Elephas maximus indicus: one gene and its partner. The protein of the gene in region 1 interacts with the protein of each later gene in a pairwise test. Links are inferred from orthologs where the notes say so. Each region holds a gene or a part of one and is shown in the gene's direction. Other genes may lie near its edges.

Region 1 (7,796 bases):
GGAGAATGTTGACACTTTGTGGGGTTGGCAACCAATGTCACAAAACAATATGTATATTAATTGTTTAATGAGAAATTAATTTGCTCTGTAAACCTTCATATAAAGCACATACAAAGACCAGGCTTACTGGTCTGACAACAAAAAAATTATCAAAATGGATGAATAAATGCACAGAACCAAATGTCTCAGAAGGTGGTTGAACAATCTTCTCTTTAGACCTGTGGACAAAAAACAAAGACAGTCCAAAGATGACCATTTCTCTTAAGGTTAATGATTGATCAAAAGCTAACACAGCCCAAATTCAATAAAGCTCAGGGGGCCCTCTGACCCGGAGTAGCACAGACTCTGATAACTTCCTATGCACAAAGTCATATTTCAATGGAAGGACATCCAAAGTCATAATGCCATTGCCTGTTTTGGCACATGCTCTCACAAGTTCCAGAATAGAAGACTGGAGCATTATATTGTGGGGAACAATTAAAGACTCCATGGCAAGGATGGCCTTTGGAAAATTAGGAAATTTTAAATGTATCAAAACCTCGTACCAGGCACTTTGCTAAGTGCTTTGCAAACACTAATTTAGTGACCTCATGAAGGAGACGCTATTATCATCCCCATCGGTTTGGTTCACAGAAGAAAGTAAAGCACACACAGGTTAATTCTTTCAGGCCTAGCAGTATATACAGCAACCATGAACTTTTTCAGCCCCTGGGATTTACTGGGAAGCTGCTGTATCATTGACAGTGTGTGCTGCTGCAAGGCAGGGACCTTTATGACTGTTTGAAACCAAACAAATGGGTGTGTGCTGCAAATTACTGTTTTTACAGGGTATTGTAGAAGGTGCCTGAATTTTTGATAGGAAAAATAGAAATTTTGAAAGTTTTTATTTGTTACATATATGTACCCATAGGTCTGGGTGGGGACTCTGGGGTATAACTAGTGGGACTTCATACGTACCACTGAACACTTAGGGTAGACTTGTGGGAGGGGACAAGAAAAAAAATCCATACTACCTACAAAAATTCAGATACAGTCAATGATTCAGAATGCTTCCATTAATAAAAACACATGGTATCAACAAAAAAATCCAAGCAGAAAATAATTGGGTCACCAAAGGGTTAAACAACTTGCCCAACCTCAGAGAGCTAGTTCATGTTAGAGCTGACATTCAAACCAGGCAGCCTGCTTCCACAGTCCATGTACTTTCCCATGTGGACTCTGGCATTTTTCTCTGGAACATTTTCATACTTTCCTTTCCGAGGGCCCTTATAATAATAAAGACAGATTTTTCAGTCGAAAAATGTTTGTTTAAACTGTTGCCAATTTCAGAATTGGTGAGGGTGATACTAGCTGCAATAACAGTGGCAGCACAGTAGAAGATACTGTCTTGATAACATAAAGCCCAATTGGCAATAGTGGCAATGATTGGTTGAGGTGGGAGACAGGCTCCCCTCCACATCTCAACTCAGTCATTGAGGGATTCAGGCTGAGGGAGACTCTGCCATTTCCAACATGTGGCCTGCTTCCCTGAAAGCAAGCAGTGCCAGGGAGATGAGGGGAAAGTTAACCCTCAAGCCCCAGCTTCTGAGACAGTTGCTTGAGGGCGCATCATAACCAATCCCCATTCTCACAAAAATCTTCATAGTGCATCCAAACGAAACCCAACTCGCTGCCATGGAGTCGATTCTGACAAACAATGACCCTATAGGACAGAGCAGAAGTGCTCCCACAGGGCTTCCAAGGCTGTTAATCTTCACAGAAGCAGACCTGCCACATTTTCCTCTCTCGGGGAGGTTGGTGGGCTCGAACTGCAGACCTTTTGGTTAGCAGCCAAGCACTTTAACCACTGTGTTACTTGGGCTCCTCATGGAGCACAAACCCATATAAATACTTTCATCCTCCCTGAAAGAATGGCTGTTTAAGTAAGCTTTAATGTGCCTCAGAATCACCTGATGGGCTTGTTAAAACAGACTGATGGGTCCCACCCCCCGAGTTCCTGACACAGTAGTTCTAGTGTAAGGCCTAACAATTTGCATTTCTAACAAGTTACTACATGATGATGAAGTTGCTGGTCCAGACCACATTTTGAGAACCACCACTCTTATCTATTGCCCAAGATTAGGGGCTTCAGGGACAGATAAAGACCCTCTCTGCCCATTCCTTTAGTAATGCCTTAGTGTTACAGTTAACCGCTCTGCTATGTTGGAAGTAAGAGTCCAGACTGGCATGGCGACATACTTCTGAACATCAGCCATTGAAAATGCTATAGAGCACAGTTCTCTGACATAGTTGGGGTCACCATGAGTCAGAATAAACTCGAGGACAACTGGGTGTTTTTATTTGTTTTTTTTGTAAAGCTAAAAGGCATTTTGTTTTCCTTTTCTTCATTAAAGCCATTGAGCCGTTGTTGTCGAGTCATTTCTGAATCATAGTGACTCTACAGGATAGAGTAGAACTGCCCCATAGAGTTTCTAAGGAGCACCTGCTGGATTCGAACTGCTGACCTTTTGGTTAGCAGCCATCACACTTAACCACCTTGTCACCAGGGTTTCCTCTTCTTCATTAGCAGCATGTTATTAGTGAATCTCCTCTGTGAGGCCTGCACTCAGCCCCATACGCACCAGGAACGGGGGCTCCTGCCCTGCTGGTGACCTTCATGCTGAGTGAGCAGGCAGCATGTAGCCAGAAGCAGTGTGCAGTGTCCAGCCACTCTGCTTGTTCTCCAGCCTACTTCCTGGCTGTGCGGCCCTAGGCTAGCCACACAGTCTCTGAGCCTCAATTTCCCCATCTACATAACACGGGACAATAATACCCACATACTTAAACTATGGCGAGCTTACTGCTGCTAACCAAAAGGTTGGCAGTTTGAATCTACCAGCCACTCCTTGGAAACCTTATGGAGCAGTTCTGGTCTGTCTCATAGGGTCACTATGAGTCAATGGCAGCTAGTTTGGTTTTCTGGAGTCTAACCTTGGAAACTCTATGGGGCAGTTCTACTCTGTCCCATAGGGTCGCTATGAGTCGGAATCAACTCAATGGCACTGGGTTGGGTATAGGACGAAGGAGCTCTTAACCCCTGCGCCACCAGAGCTCAGCCACTAACCCAAAAATAGGCAGTTTGAACCCATCAGCCACTCTGCAGGATAAAGATGACAGTCTGTTTCTTAAAGATTACAGCCTTGGAAATCCTATGGTACAGTTCTACTCTGCCTATAGGTTGTGTGATTTGGAATTGACTCCACAGCAGTGAGTTCGGACTATAGGATGCCTGAGAAGAGGAAATGAGGATAGTGCAAGTAGGAGAGGAGTCCTCTGTCAAGTGTAAAGTACTTGCCACATATTAATTATCATGACAGCTTCATGACAGGTTTGCACTGGAACAATTAGCAGTGGCTTCTGTTTTTCCTCCAGCTTTAGTAATATTTGTTTTGCTTTTTAGTAATTTTTGTTTTTAAGGCTTTGGTCACCCTCTCCCCAACAATGGTCTTTGAGGCCCAATGCTACTGGTCCTGACTCACCTTCTGCTGGTATATTCATACACTTAGACCCAAGCTCCTCATTGCCATCTTTAGGCTCTAAAAAGAAAAATATAACCAAGGTAGATGAAATGAAACTCTCACATTACTTTATTCTAAGTCAAGATCTTCTCAGTCTCAACAATCAAGGATAAAATAAAAAGAACGAACTAAGTAGTTTATCACTGATTTTCAACCAGCTAAGATTCTCCAAAAGCCTTGTGGCTCAGTGGTTAAAGCACTGTACTGCTAACCGAAAGGACAGCAGTTCAAACCCACCAGCAACTCCCCTGGAGGAAAGACTTACAATTTGCTCCCATAAAGATTGCAGCCAAAGAAACCCTATGGGGCAGTTCTATTCTGTCCAACAGGGTCACCATGGGTCAGAAACGACTCAACAGCAGTGGGTTTGGTTTTGGTTTTGAGATAAAGCAGGCCCATTTTAATCCCGTCCGTACTGTTTGCCATTTGAACGTTAGTTTTCATCCCCAAAACTCAGGCAAGTGCAGAGAACGAAAGTGAGATGCCCTTCGAAGGGGAGCAGGGACCACTGAAAATCTTTGCAAAGAGCCCTCTGCGTTAGCTGTGCGACCCAAGTCATCCTGACATCTTTCCTCCCTTCAGAGCCCCAGGCTGTGATAGGCGGTGATTTACATTCCTGCTCTTTTGGAGGGAAAAGACCTGGAGTCACAAAGACGGGGATTCAGTCTTTATCTTACCACTTAATACGCTACCTAGGATACACCACTTCTTTAAGACTCAGTTCTTCCATCTGTATGATGGACATACCACTATCTGCCTCACAGAGCTGTTCTGGATGATAATGTATCGTTTCTAGAGCACTGCCAGGCACAAGGTGCTCCTCGTCGCCATCCAGGGAATTCCGGCTCATGGAGACAGGGGAAAGCCTCCTTCCCTCGGGTTTTACTTTCACCACTAAAGGAACACTACTGGCCTGGAGCCCCGCGCCCTGGATCGTCAGGGGTCCGCTAGCTCCCAGGGGAGCCCAGGCCAGCCCTGAAAGTCCCAAACCCCTGGGGATCCGCCCCAATCTCTTAAAGAACTCCCCATCCCACGGCTCGAGGGCCAAACAGCCGGCCCAGCCCACCTAGGCGTTTGCATCGCCCGCCCCTCTGCGTGATGAGGCGGCATCACTTCCGCCGGAAGAGGCGAGGGGCCCGCGCCGTTGGCGCGAAAGTCGGTTCCCGTCCTCGGCCACTTCCGGGTTGTCCTGCGATTCCCCCGGGCTGGGGGCGCCGCCGGCTGGGGCGGGTCTGCGCCGGGCTGGCGCCCGACCCCCGCCGTCGTCCTGCCGGCCGCGCGCCCCCCAACTCGCCAGCCGGAGGCTCCCGGGCTCCACCAAGGTGAGTGAGTCGCGGGATGAAGACCCGGTTCTTTCTCCGCCCCAACTAGGGGCCGCAGCGCCGCCGCTGGCCTGCCTTCCGGGCCCTGGCTTCCCGCCCTTCCAACCGGCCCTCCGACCGGCGGGCGGGCCTCTGCGGCCGGAGGGGACGAGCCTGTGCGGCCGGACCCACGGCCGGGCCTGTCCCTGGGGACCGGGAGGCGGGGAGAGGCGGCCCTCTGCTCTGCGGCCGGACCCACGGCCGGGCCTGTCGTTGGGGACCGGGAGGCGGGGAGAGGCGGCCCTCTGCTCTGCGGCCGGACCCACGGCCGGGCCTGTCGTTGGGGACCGGGAGGCGGGGAGAGGCGGCCCTCTGCTCTGCGGCCGGACCCACGGCCGGGCCTGTCGTTGGGGACCGGGAGGCGGGGAGAGGCGGCCCTCTGCTCTGCGGCCGGACCCACGGCCGGGCCTGTTGTTGGGGACCGGGAGGCGGGGAGAGGCGGCCCTCTGCTTTGCGGCCGAACCCACGGCCGGGCCTGTCGTTGGGGACCGGGAGGCGGGGAGAGGCGGCCCTTTGCGGGGCACGACCTCGCTAGCTGGCTTCCGTGTTTACGTTTAAAATCCGTTTGCTGAGAGGTGGACAGTCCTCGAGGGCCGTGGATTCCGCAGGCACAGAAGTGCTTATCCTTAGGCACCGGGCAATTGAACGTCCATTTGCCGATGTGACTTACCGTAAAGCCCCCGGTGCAGGGGCCCTCATGGCCTTCAATTTAGGGACATTAGCTTCCGTCTCTGATTTGTACGGTTTGATGTTGTCATCCTTGTCTTGGATTTTGCTGACATTCTAGCATTTCTTACAAACGTGCAGGACGAGTTCATGTTAAGGTCAGAATGCCTATCCTTAGACATTCTTGCCTGCACAGAAAAATGGGTGCTTTAAAATTTTAACTAAATATATGTGGTATGTTTTTTTCTCGTTAATGATCCTTTTATTTTGACAGTTCAGACATGTCCGGAAATGACAAAGAACCGTTCTTTGTGAAGTTTTTAAAGTCTCCAGACAATTCTGAATGTTTTTTCAAAGCCCTGGAGGTAAGAATAGTTGAAAATGTGGTTTGATGCTGTAAGTTCGTTTTCTTCTTTTTAGTGTTTTTTAAAATTAGGCTTTTTATGTCTTAGCCATAGATACTTTATCTTCATAATGGTTTTACATTAATATAGATATAGCATCATTACATGTTTTTGAATTGTTTTAAGTATGTATGTTATTATTGTGTATTTGGGGTCTTTGAAACACATAACATTTCTGTTGGATGTGGCTGACCTGCAGTTCTTGGAAATTAAGTTGCTTTCTTTTGTTTACTAACCACAGTGGTTCTTTGTGTGTGAATAAATTTGAGTCATTTGTGTACTGATCACACATCAGCACTTGTTTGGTTAAGTGTTAAAAGTATGTTTCATTATGTGCGGTATAATATGGAGGGTCCAGGTACAGTGGTTAAGAGTTCGGCTCCTAACCAGAAGGTTGGCAGTTCACATCTACCAGCTACTCCTTGAAAACCCTATGGGACAGTTGTGCTGTGTCCTGTAGGGTTATTATGAGTCAGAATTGACAGCAATGGGTTTGGGTTTTGTTTTGTTTTTTTTTTTAAGAGGTGGTGTAGAGCCTTGCTACTCACAGACCTCAACAACATCAGTATGGCTTGGGAGTTTGTTAGAAAATGTATATTCTCAGGGCCTGTCTTAAAGTTACCAATTAGGATCTGCATTTTAACAAGATCCCCAGTGTGATTCTTGTGCACATTAAAATTTCAGGAGTATTGTAGCAGGTTTTTCCTTAAAGTTCATTCATCAAATATTTATTGAGTGCTCATGATCTGATTGGAAACCCTGGTGGCGTAGTGGTTCAGTGCTACAGCTGCTAACCAAAGGGTCGGCAGTTCGAATCTGCCAGGCGCTCCTTGGAAACTCTGTGGGGCAGTTCTACTCTGTCCTATAGGGTCGCTATGAGTCGGAATCGACTTGACGGCACTGGGTTTTTTTTTTGGTTCATGATCTGATAGGTACTTGGGATACATGTATCAGTTACCTGAGCAGACAAAGAGCCCTGCTTTTTCAGAGCTTACGTTCTAGCAGGGGGAAATAGACTTTAATCAGTAAACTCATATGAATAAACTATATAGTGTGCTATAAGGTTCTCAGTGATATGGGAAGAGAAAAAAGCACAGCATGTTAAGGGGTTCTGGAGGATGTTGCCAGGAGGAAGGGGAGGTTACAGTTTTAAATAGAGTAAGATCAGGGTAGGCTTTGTGGAGAAGATGATATTTGAGTAAACTTGAAGGAGGTGATATTTGAGTAAACTTGAAGGAGCCACTGGGCTCTCTGGGGAAGAAGGTTCCAGGCAGATGGAATAACCAGTTCACAGGCCCATGGGAAAGTCCGTGGATTGTCTGTCCAAGGACTAGCGAGAAAGTTAGTGTAGAGTGTACAAGGAGTGTGGGAGAGTATGAAAGGATACTTCAGAAAGTAAGGGTGAAGAAATCATTTAGGGTCTTATGGGTTATTGTAAGGACTTTGGTTTTTGCCTCTAAGTGAAGTACAGAGCCAGTGGTGGGTTTTAATAAAGGAGTTTTTGATCTGACATTGCTTTAAAAGGATCACTTTAAGGACATACAAAAAAATCAAACCCATTGCTGTTGAGTCTATTCCGACTCATAGTGACCCTATAGGACAGAGTAGAACTGCCCCATAGGATTTCCAGGGAGTGGCTGGTGGATTCCAACCGCTGGCCTTTTGGTTAGCAGCCAGGGTTGTAACTGCTGTGCTGCCAGGGCTCCTTAAGGACATAGAGACTTCAAAATTCAGGACATAGACATTTCAGAATTTGTTCATGAAATATTTGAGTATTTACTAGGTTCCAGGATAAAGTGGCAAACAAG
Region 2 (7,872 bases), on another chromosome or scaffold:
CTTTCTCTTAGTAACACCTACTCTGGTTTGTCCATTTCCCCCAATAGGCTTTAAGCTCCTTGAAAAAGAACTATGTCTGGAACTCAGTAAATATATGATGAATGAATAAATATTAGCATTTTAAAAATATAATTACCTGACTGGTTAAAATGATTACCCATGTTTTTATGCAAATAACGCGTTCCTTCTACGTTTGTTTGCCAACTGATCTCTCTTCCCTGAGGTATTTTCATAAATAGGCTGTGCTAATTCTTTTTACATCAACATGTAAAAATTGGCATAGCTGCACTTACGAAAGTACCTCACAGAGGGAGGGAGCAGTTGGCAAAAAAATGTAGGAGGCATGCTTTATTTGCAGAAAAATACAGTATACATAATTATTTTATTAACAAAGTAAAATGCAGATGCTCGCTACATCTACTTCCTTAAAAAAATTGGTGGACATAAAAATAAACCTTTTTTATGAAAAAAGTTATCGTATGGAAATATACTAAGCCTTCAACTTTAAAAAAAAAAAAACTAGAAACAAAGAAAAATCCATGTAATGGATGGAATTAATAAAGATAAAAGTAAAACTGCTTACTGTAAACAAAAAAAAATAAGTAAACCAAAGTTCGTTCTTGAAAAGTTGAATAAAATAGAAAGTCCAACTAAGAAAAGGAATAGATATTATTAAAATGAAAAAGGAAATTTAAAACTACAAATAAGAAAGAAAAAGACTGACTGGAATACCGAATGCAAGTTGTATTGATAAATTTTTAAATCTAAACAACTGGTTTGCTAAAAAATATATATTTCCAAAATGAACTCAAGGTGGAAAAAAATTAACAGAACTTTAACCATATTTGAAATTCAAATATTTGCTGAAGATATACCACTAAATAAGGTACCAAGCTTGATGATTTTATCGGCCAGCTGCATATAGCCAAGTACCAGATGACTCCTGTGTAATCTGATTATCCCATAACAGAAAAAAGATTGAAATGCTTCACATTCATTTTTCAAAAGTAACATATAACCCACATTCCAAAATAGACAATACAAAAAAATTTATTGAAAACTCTCACTTATGAACATTCTTACAAAATTCTTAATAAAATATCAGCAAATCAACACCTGTGGCACACCATATATAGGGTTTGTTAATACTTCCTTGTTGAGCTTGGGCAAATCACTTCTCTCTGTCTCAGTTTTTCCATCTGTAAAATGGAGATCATAATAGTACCTATTGCATGAAGTTGTTAAGAAGATTAAATGGGTAAGTATAAAGTCCTTAGACTAGTGCTTGGCATTTGGCAAATGTTCAGTGTTAGCTATTATTATTATCCCAAGAACAAACAGACAAAAAAAAACACCCAACATAATCCATTCCATTAATATTTTATAGAGAAAAAGAAGATTTTTGATAAAAATTTGATAAATTTTTAGCAGACATTTTTGACAAATATTTAAATAGAGCAGGCCTAGAAGGCAGTCTTTTAAACATAATAAAGAATATTTATCACAAGCCATTAGCACAAATTATATTAAATGTTAAAATACTGAAGATATCCCTATTAAATTAAGCAATAATACAAACATGCTCAATATCACCATGATTAGATACTAGACATTATACTATTGCAATAAATACAACCAAAACCAAACCCAGCGCCATCGAGTTGATTCCGACTCATAAATACAACAGATATGAAACAGGGGATGAAACTATTATTTGCAGATAATATATAGTTTTTATAGTTAGAACTCTGAGAGTAAGCGAAGCTCTATTACAATTAGTGAGAGTTCAGTTGATAAACCGGAGAACCAAAAAAAAAAAACCAAATCCACTGCCGCCGCCGAGTCAATTCTGACTCATAGCGACCCAGTAGAACTGCCCCCCCCACCACAGGCTTTCCAAGGAGCATCTGGGGGATTCGAACTTGCAACCTTTCGGTTAGCAGCCGAAGCTCTTAACTACTACACCAGGGTTTCCAGGCTGGATAAAAGACAGATCAAAATCAGCATCTTTTTTTAGAGTAGCAATTAACAACTTAAAATTTTTTAAGAGAAAAAGAGAACCCATTTAGAGTAATAAAAATTATATAACATCCAGAAATAAACTTAATGAGATGGTACAAGACTATATGATAAACTACATAAAATTTCACTGAACATAAAATACAGCCTGAATACTCTCTATTAATTGCCTAGGCACTGCCTCCATCTTCTCTGTCGCCCAATCTAGAAATGTGGAAACTCCTCTAGACACTCCCACTCCTCACTCTTCATATCCACTATCAGTCACTAAATCCTGCCTATTTTGCCTCATACGTATTTCTTAAAATTGCCACTATCTACACTTCCACTACACTGGTTATCCTTTGGACAGGCTCCAGTAAGTTTGTCTCCCTACTTCTAGACTTCTTGTTAGCTGCCGTGGAGTCACTCCCTCACCCTCCTCAAAATCATAGCCATTCAGCTGTCGGAGTCCTCAATCTAAAACAGAAACTTGACTAGGTCATACCCAAGTGTAAAACCAGAGATTGCCCCTGAATTCAGAATGGAGTCCAAGATCAAAGCCAATAAAGCCTTCAGTCATCTGGACCCAGTCTCCTCTCCCCCTCCCCCACTACTTTGGGCTTAAACGTATGGCTCTAATGTTTCTCAAGTGAGGATACGCCAGTGTCTCTGACTAAAGACATCAAGGTTCCTCAAAATTACATAGTATGTCCCACTAAACTTACAGCGTCAATTTTTGATGAGTATTGTCTGAGGAAGACATTATTTTATATATAACATGATTTTACGGAAAAGAATGTGAAATTTGCATTACTGCTTAAGTTAAAATGCAAGATTTCAAAGAAAGATGCCACCTACGGCAGGAAGAGTAGACTCCTTCCTCTGCCCCAGGATGGGGGTGATGATGGCACACTTACCATTCGTTGCAAGGTGAAAAGTCTAACAGTATCAAACTCTTATCACTGTATTTGCCAACAAATGACAATGACACCCAATGCTTATCAAGAACTTGGTTATGCCACACACTGTTCTAAACTCTTTACGTCGACCGACTCATTTTGTAAGGTCTTTAAGACCTTACACGACTTTATTTCCAACTGTTCTCATCCTTGCTTTCTCCACTTCAGCTATGGTAGTCGCCTTGCTCTTCCTGGCACACATTGCCATGGTCCTACTTCAAGGCCTTTGGTCTTATTATTCCCTGTATCTGGAAGCCTTTTCCTCTAGACAGCATGGCTCTCTCTCAACTCCTTGCAGTATTTTTTCAAATATTGCTTTCTCAAGCAGCCCTTTCCTGACTACTCTACTGAAAATTACAGGTATAACCACCTTCTTCTCAAACGCCATTATTCCACAGTATTAACTCTGCTGTGTTTTTTCCCCGTATCATTTTTTTTAATGGTGTATATTTTTTTCTCTCCCTACCAGAATGTAAGTTCCACGGCAGTGGGGTTTTTGTTTTACTCACTAAATCCCGAGGGCCAGAATACTGCCTGGCACACTGCAGGCTCCCAATGAATGTTTATCTAATGAACAAATCTAGTTAACAGTTACTTTTATTAGCCAGATTTTACCTTATTACTACACTGAAGCACAATGAGAACTTGCCTATGGTCACACGGTAAAAAGATGGAGCTAGGATTTGTAGACAGACAGCCTGGCTCCACTCTTTACATCACTACCTGGTGTCTGTCTTTTGTATACGAAATTCCATATGCACTACTTCATATGTTTCCCTTACCAGGCAGTTACTTCCCAGCAGGGGAGGCATCATTATCTTTGTGCTGTTACTGACAATTGTATGTGTTATACGCTCAACAACTGTTTACTGAATGAATGCATGAATGAATACATTCCCTACGTAATGATCCTTACATGTTTGTCTCAATCATTTTAAGCTTTCAGATATAATAGTGAAATCGACATTTTTAATATAAAAATAAACCTGGCCTTAAAAATGTAATGATGTAAAAAAAATACATCTTTGACTCGACAAAACATGATTTCTGATGAATTATTTCATTAGAGATGTACCCTAGTCTTAAAATTTTCCAGACTGGTTTTTAAAGCTTTATTAGGTATTTTTTTTTTTAGCATAAATTAAGGAAGCTGCAGAACCAGCTACTTGACTCACCTCGTGATATACACATGCATAATACTAATTAGACAGTACTCATTACCTCTGATTTAAAAAGAAAAAGAAAAAGCAGAGAACGTAGGCGGCGAGGTTGACATCACAACCATGCCACACGGAAAGACAGCTCCCCTTACGGAAAGTGACGCTAAGGAAGCCACCCACCGCCATCACCGGGCCCAGGAGTTGCCCGGCGGTGGTTTTCTCGAATAAGCCTGACAAAGGCCAGCTAAGGACCTGACAGCCGTCACGAAATTCCAATGGTTTAGGGTCGACGAGGTAAAGATTTAAAGCGAGGTCCCCTCCCCGGCTGTCTCAAAACTCTAGGGCCCAAAGAGTCTCTGCTCAGAGCTCCTCACCGTGTCTAGACTATTTCTCAGGTAAAGGATGATGCGCAAAGGAAAAGCCAGCCATCCAGCGTGAGGGCCCAGGAAGCAAACGAAAGCAAAGCTTACAAAACAACAACGCAGCCGCGGCGCTTCACCGCCCCTCTGTGGGTTGGAAGAAACAGTCGCGCTTCTCGCGAGATAGCTCGTTCTCAAGGGTCTCGGAGATGAAACCTCGCGAGCTCAGAGGAAAGGGAGGGGTTGGAAGGAGCGCCACAACCCACAGACCCAGCCTGTGCCTCATTGAGAGGCCGTCCCCCAGAGCCCCAAACACTTCCGGAACCCGACCGGAACCGGAAGTTGCTGGGCGCGAGGGGGTGCGGCCGAAAATCAAAAAAAGCGCGGCCGGAGCTGGAGGTCCTGAGAGGGCTGGGTGGCGGCGGTCCCCGGCGAGGCTGGGCCGGTCGGGATGGACTCCACTGCCAGCCTGAAGTCCTTGCTGCTGACCATTAGTCAGTACAAAGCCGTCAAGTCGGAGGCGAACGCCACCCAGCTTCTGCGGCACCTGGAGGTGCGGGGTCCTGGGGTGGGGACGAGATGGGGCTTTCCTCCAGTGACCCCTGGTCCGCTGCCCGGTGTGGCGGCCCGAGCTGGAACGACAGCCCCCGCTCCGGCGGCTGTTGTCGCTGTTCGCGCTCGCTGTTCCCGCTGAGGGCGAACGTGTGTCAGCCGTGACCGCTCCGGCGGCTGTTGTCGCTGTTCCCGCTGAGGGCGAACGTGTGTCAGCCGTGACCGCCGCGGCGGCTGTTGTCGCTGTTCGCGCTCGCTGTTCCCGCTGAGGGCGAACGTGTGTCAGCCGTGACCGCCGCGGCGGCTGTTGTCGCTGTTCCCGCTGAGGGCGAACGTGTGTCAGCCGTGACCGCTCCGGCGGCTGTTGTCGCTGAGGGCGAACGTGTGTCAGCCGTGACCGCTCCGGCGGCTGTTCTCGTCCCGCTGAGGGCGAACGTGTGTCAGCCGTGACCGCTCCGGCGGCTGTTGTCGCTGTTCGCGCTCGCTGTTCCCGCTGAGGGCGAACGTGTGTCAGCCGTGACCGCCGCGGCGGCTGTTGTCGCTGTTCCCGCTGAGGGCGAACGTGTGTCAGCCGTGACCGCTCCGGCGGCTGTTGTCGCTGTTCCCGCTGAGGGCGAACGTGTGTCAGCCGTGACCGCTCCGGCGGCTGTTGTCGCTGTTCCCGCTGAGGGCGAACGTGTGTCAGCCGTGACCGCTCCGGCGGCTGTTCTCGTCCCGCTGAGGGCGAACGTGTGTCAGCCGTGACCGCTCCGGCGGCTGTTGTCGCTGAGGGCGAACGTGTGTCAGCCGTGACCGCCGCGGCGGCTGTTGTCGCCGTTCCCGCTGAGGGCGAACGTGTGTCAGCTGTGACCGCTCCGGCGGCTGTTGTCGCCGTTCCCGCTGAGGGCGAACGTGTGTCAGCCGTGACTCCCCACCGTCCGCGCCCGCCCCAGCCCGGGCACCGGCAACAGGGAGGCTGGCACCAAGGGCCGGGTGTTTGGCACGTTTCGGAGAGAGCTAGGAGCTGTGTCTTCTCTTCTTTTGCTTCTTGTTTCGTTGTTTGCATCGAAATTAGGCCCTCACAGAATATTCAGGATTCTAGGGGGCGGCGGAGGTGGGGGGGGATTAAAACTTGATTTTGCCCTTAGCCACTTTACAATCTGAACCTGTTGCTTACTGCTTTTGTTTGAACTCGTGTTGAGCTCGAACTTGCAAATTATTATTTCAACTTTCTTTGAATTAAGGAGCAATCCTCTTCCCCGAAACTAGTGATCATAATCTTTTTTCTTTACCAAAATATATCGCTCAGAGTTTTGAAATCCTTAAATGCTGAATTGCTTTCACTTTTTCGATTAGTTCCTGTGATTTGTGCTTAGACTACTTATTCTATTATGACGTTCCTTTGGAAAAATTGTAATCACGATTTTGTTTCTGTGATCCTGTTTGTTTTTAGATTCTCAATCTTCTGCTGTCATTTGTGTCACATTCATGGAATTCAAACTAACATGTAACCTCAGCCTCATGAAAAGCAATTAAGCTGAATCAAAGCTTGTTTTGAGAATTCTTTGTCGCAGCTTCCTTTTCTTAGCATTAGATTGAACATAATTTTAAAATCTATTTGACATACTAACCCTGTGATTGCAAATGGTACAGCAACAGTTTTTTGTTTTTCTTTATAAAAGTGGAGTATATTAAATGTGTGTTTCTTCTCTTGGGCTTTGGTGGTATTGCTCTTCATAGTAGTACAGCTGCCTATCCCCTACGCAGATTTGCCTTCTTTTTCTCATTCGTTGGCTCCACAAATCACTGCATCCTAATAACATGTTAACTGTTAGGTGGGTCAGGCTTTGCGTCTCAAGAACAGAGCAGTGCACTGGTGGATTCCAGAAGCCACAGGATGGAAAAGTAGGGCCATCAATTTTATTTAAGAATTCAGGGTTAAGTATTTTACATGGTAATCTAAAACATTACTTCTCTTTGAGAATGAACAGGTTATCATGAATTAAAGGAAACATCAAAGAAATTTGTGGATTAGAGGCTGGCTCTTTGATACCCTCCCAAACTTTGAGGCAGTTTAGAGAAAATTCTACCATTGGGGCATTTTGATGCAAAGCCGAGAAGAGCACAAGCTATAATTATCAGGGACTTATTGTTATTTGGGGAACACTGGTGGTTTAGTGGTTAAGAGCTGTGGCTGTTCAAATCTACCAGGTGCTCCTTGGAAACCAGGTGGGGAAGTTCTTACTCTGTCCTGTAGGGTCACTGTGAGTTGGAATCAACTCAATGGCAACGGGTTTGGTGTTTTTTTAGCAATAACATACCTACAGTAAAGTGCTTGAGGTGTGTTAATCTTAATTGAAGAGCTTGATGTTTTTTTTAACATTTCATATGCACTTCGTATCTAGCACCTGTATCAGGATCTAGGAAGTTTCCATCACTCCATAAGGTTTCTTCATTGTTCCTTTCTACAAGATTCATATAAGTCAACAAATATAATATGTACTCTTTTGTGTCTGGTTGCTTTCATTCAGTAGAACTAACATTTATTCATGTTTCACTTGTACCAGGACTTCACTGTTTATTGCTGCATAGAATTCCGTTATGTAAACACCCCGCAGTTAGGTACATTCCCCTGTTGATGTGCATTGGCGTGTGTCCGTTTTGGGGTGGAATTATCAGTGAAGCTGTTGTGAATATTTTCATGCATGTCTTTGAGTATATGCTCTCACTTCTCTTATATACCTAGTAGTGAAATTATGAGTCAGAATTTCTAACTCCACAGCAGTGGGTTTGGGTTTTGTTTGTTTGTTTGGTAGGGCTGTAGGGAAGGAACCCTGGTAGCTCGGTGTTTAAGTGCTGGGC

Evidence for each region.
Region 2: the proteins of TOPBP1 (region 1) and CIP2A interact in a two-hybrid assay, tested with the Homo sapiens proteins (2 studies listed by BioGRID). The link is inferred for Elephas maximus indicus from reciprocal best matches to the Homo sapiens genes TOPBP1 and CIP2A.

The regions. Positions count from the first base shown.
Region 1 is NC_064844.1:46,133,205-46,141,000, forward strand, and holds the start of TOPBP1 (DNA topoisomerase 2-binding protein 1), read left to right. Parts: upstream 1-4,696; 5' UTR 4,697-4,879; intron 4,880-4,942; exon of another isoform or gene 4,943-5,742; intron 5,743-5,858; exon of another isoform or gene 5,859-5,863; 5' UTR 5,864-5,865; coding exon 5,866-5,949; intron 5,950-7,796. UniProt on the Homo sapiens protein: Scaffold protein that acts as a key protein-protein adapter in DNA replication and DNA repair. Composed of multiple BRCT domains, which specifically recognize and bind phosphorylated proteins, bringing proteins together into functional combinations.
Region 2 is NC_064836.1:80,958,600-80,966,471, reverse strand, and holds the start of CIP2A (protein CIP2A), read left to right. Parts: upstream 1-4,835; 5' UTR 4,836-4,930; coding exon 4,931-5,032; intron 5,033-7,872.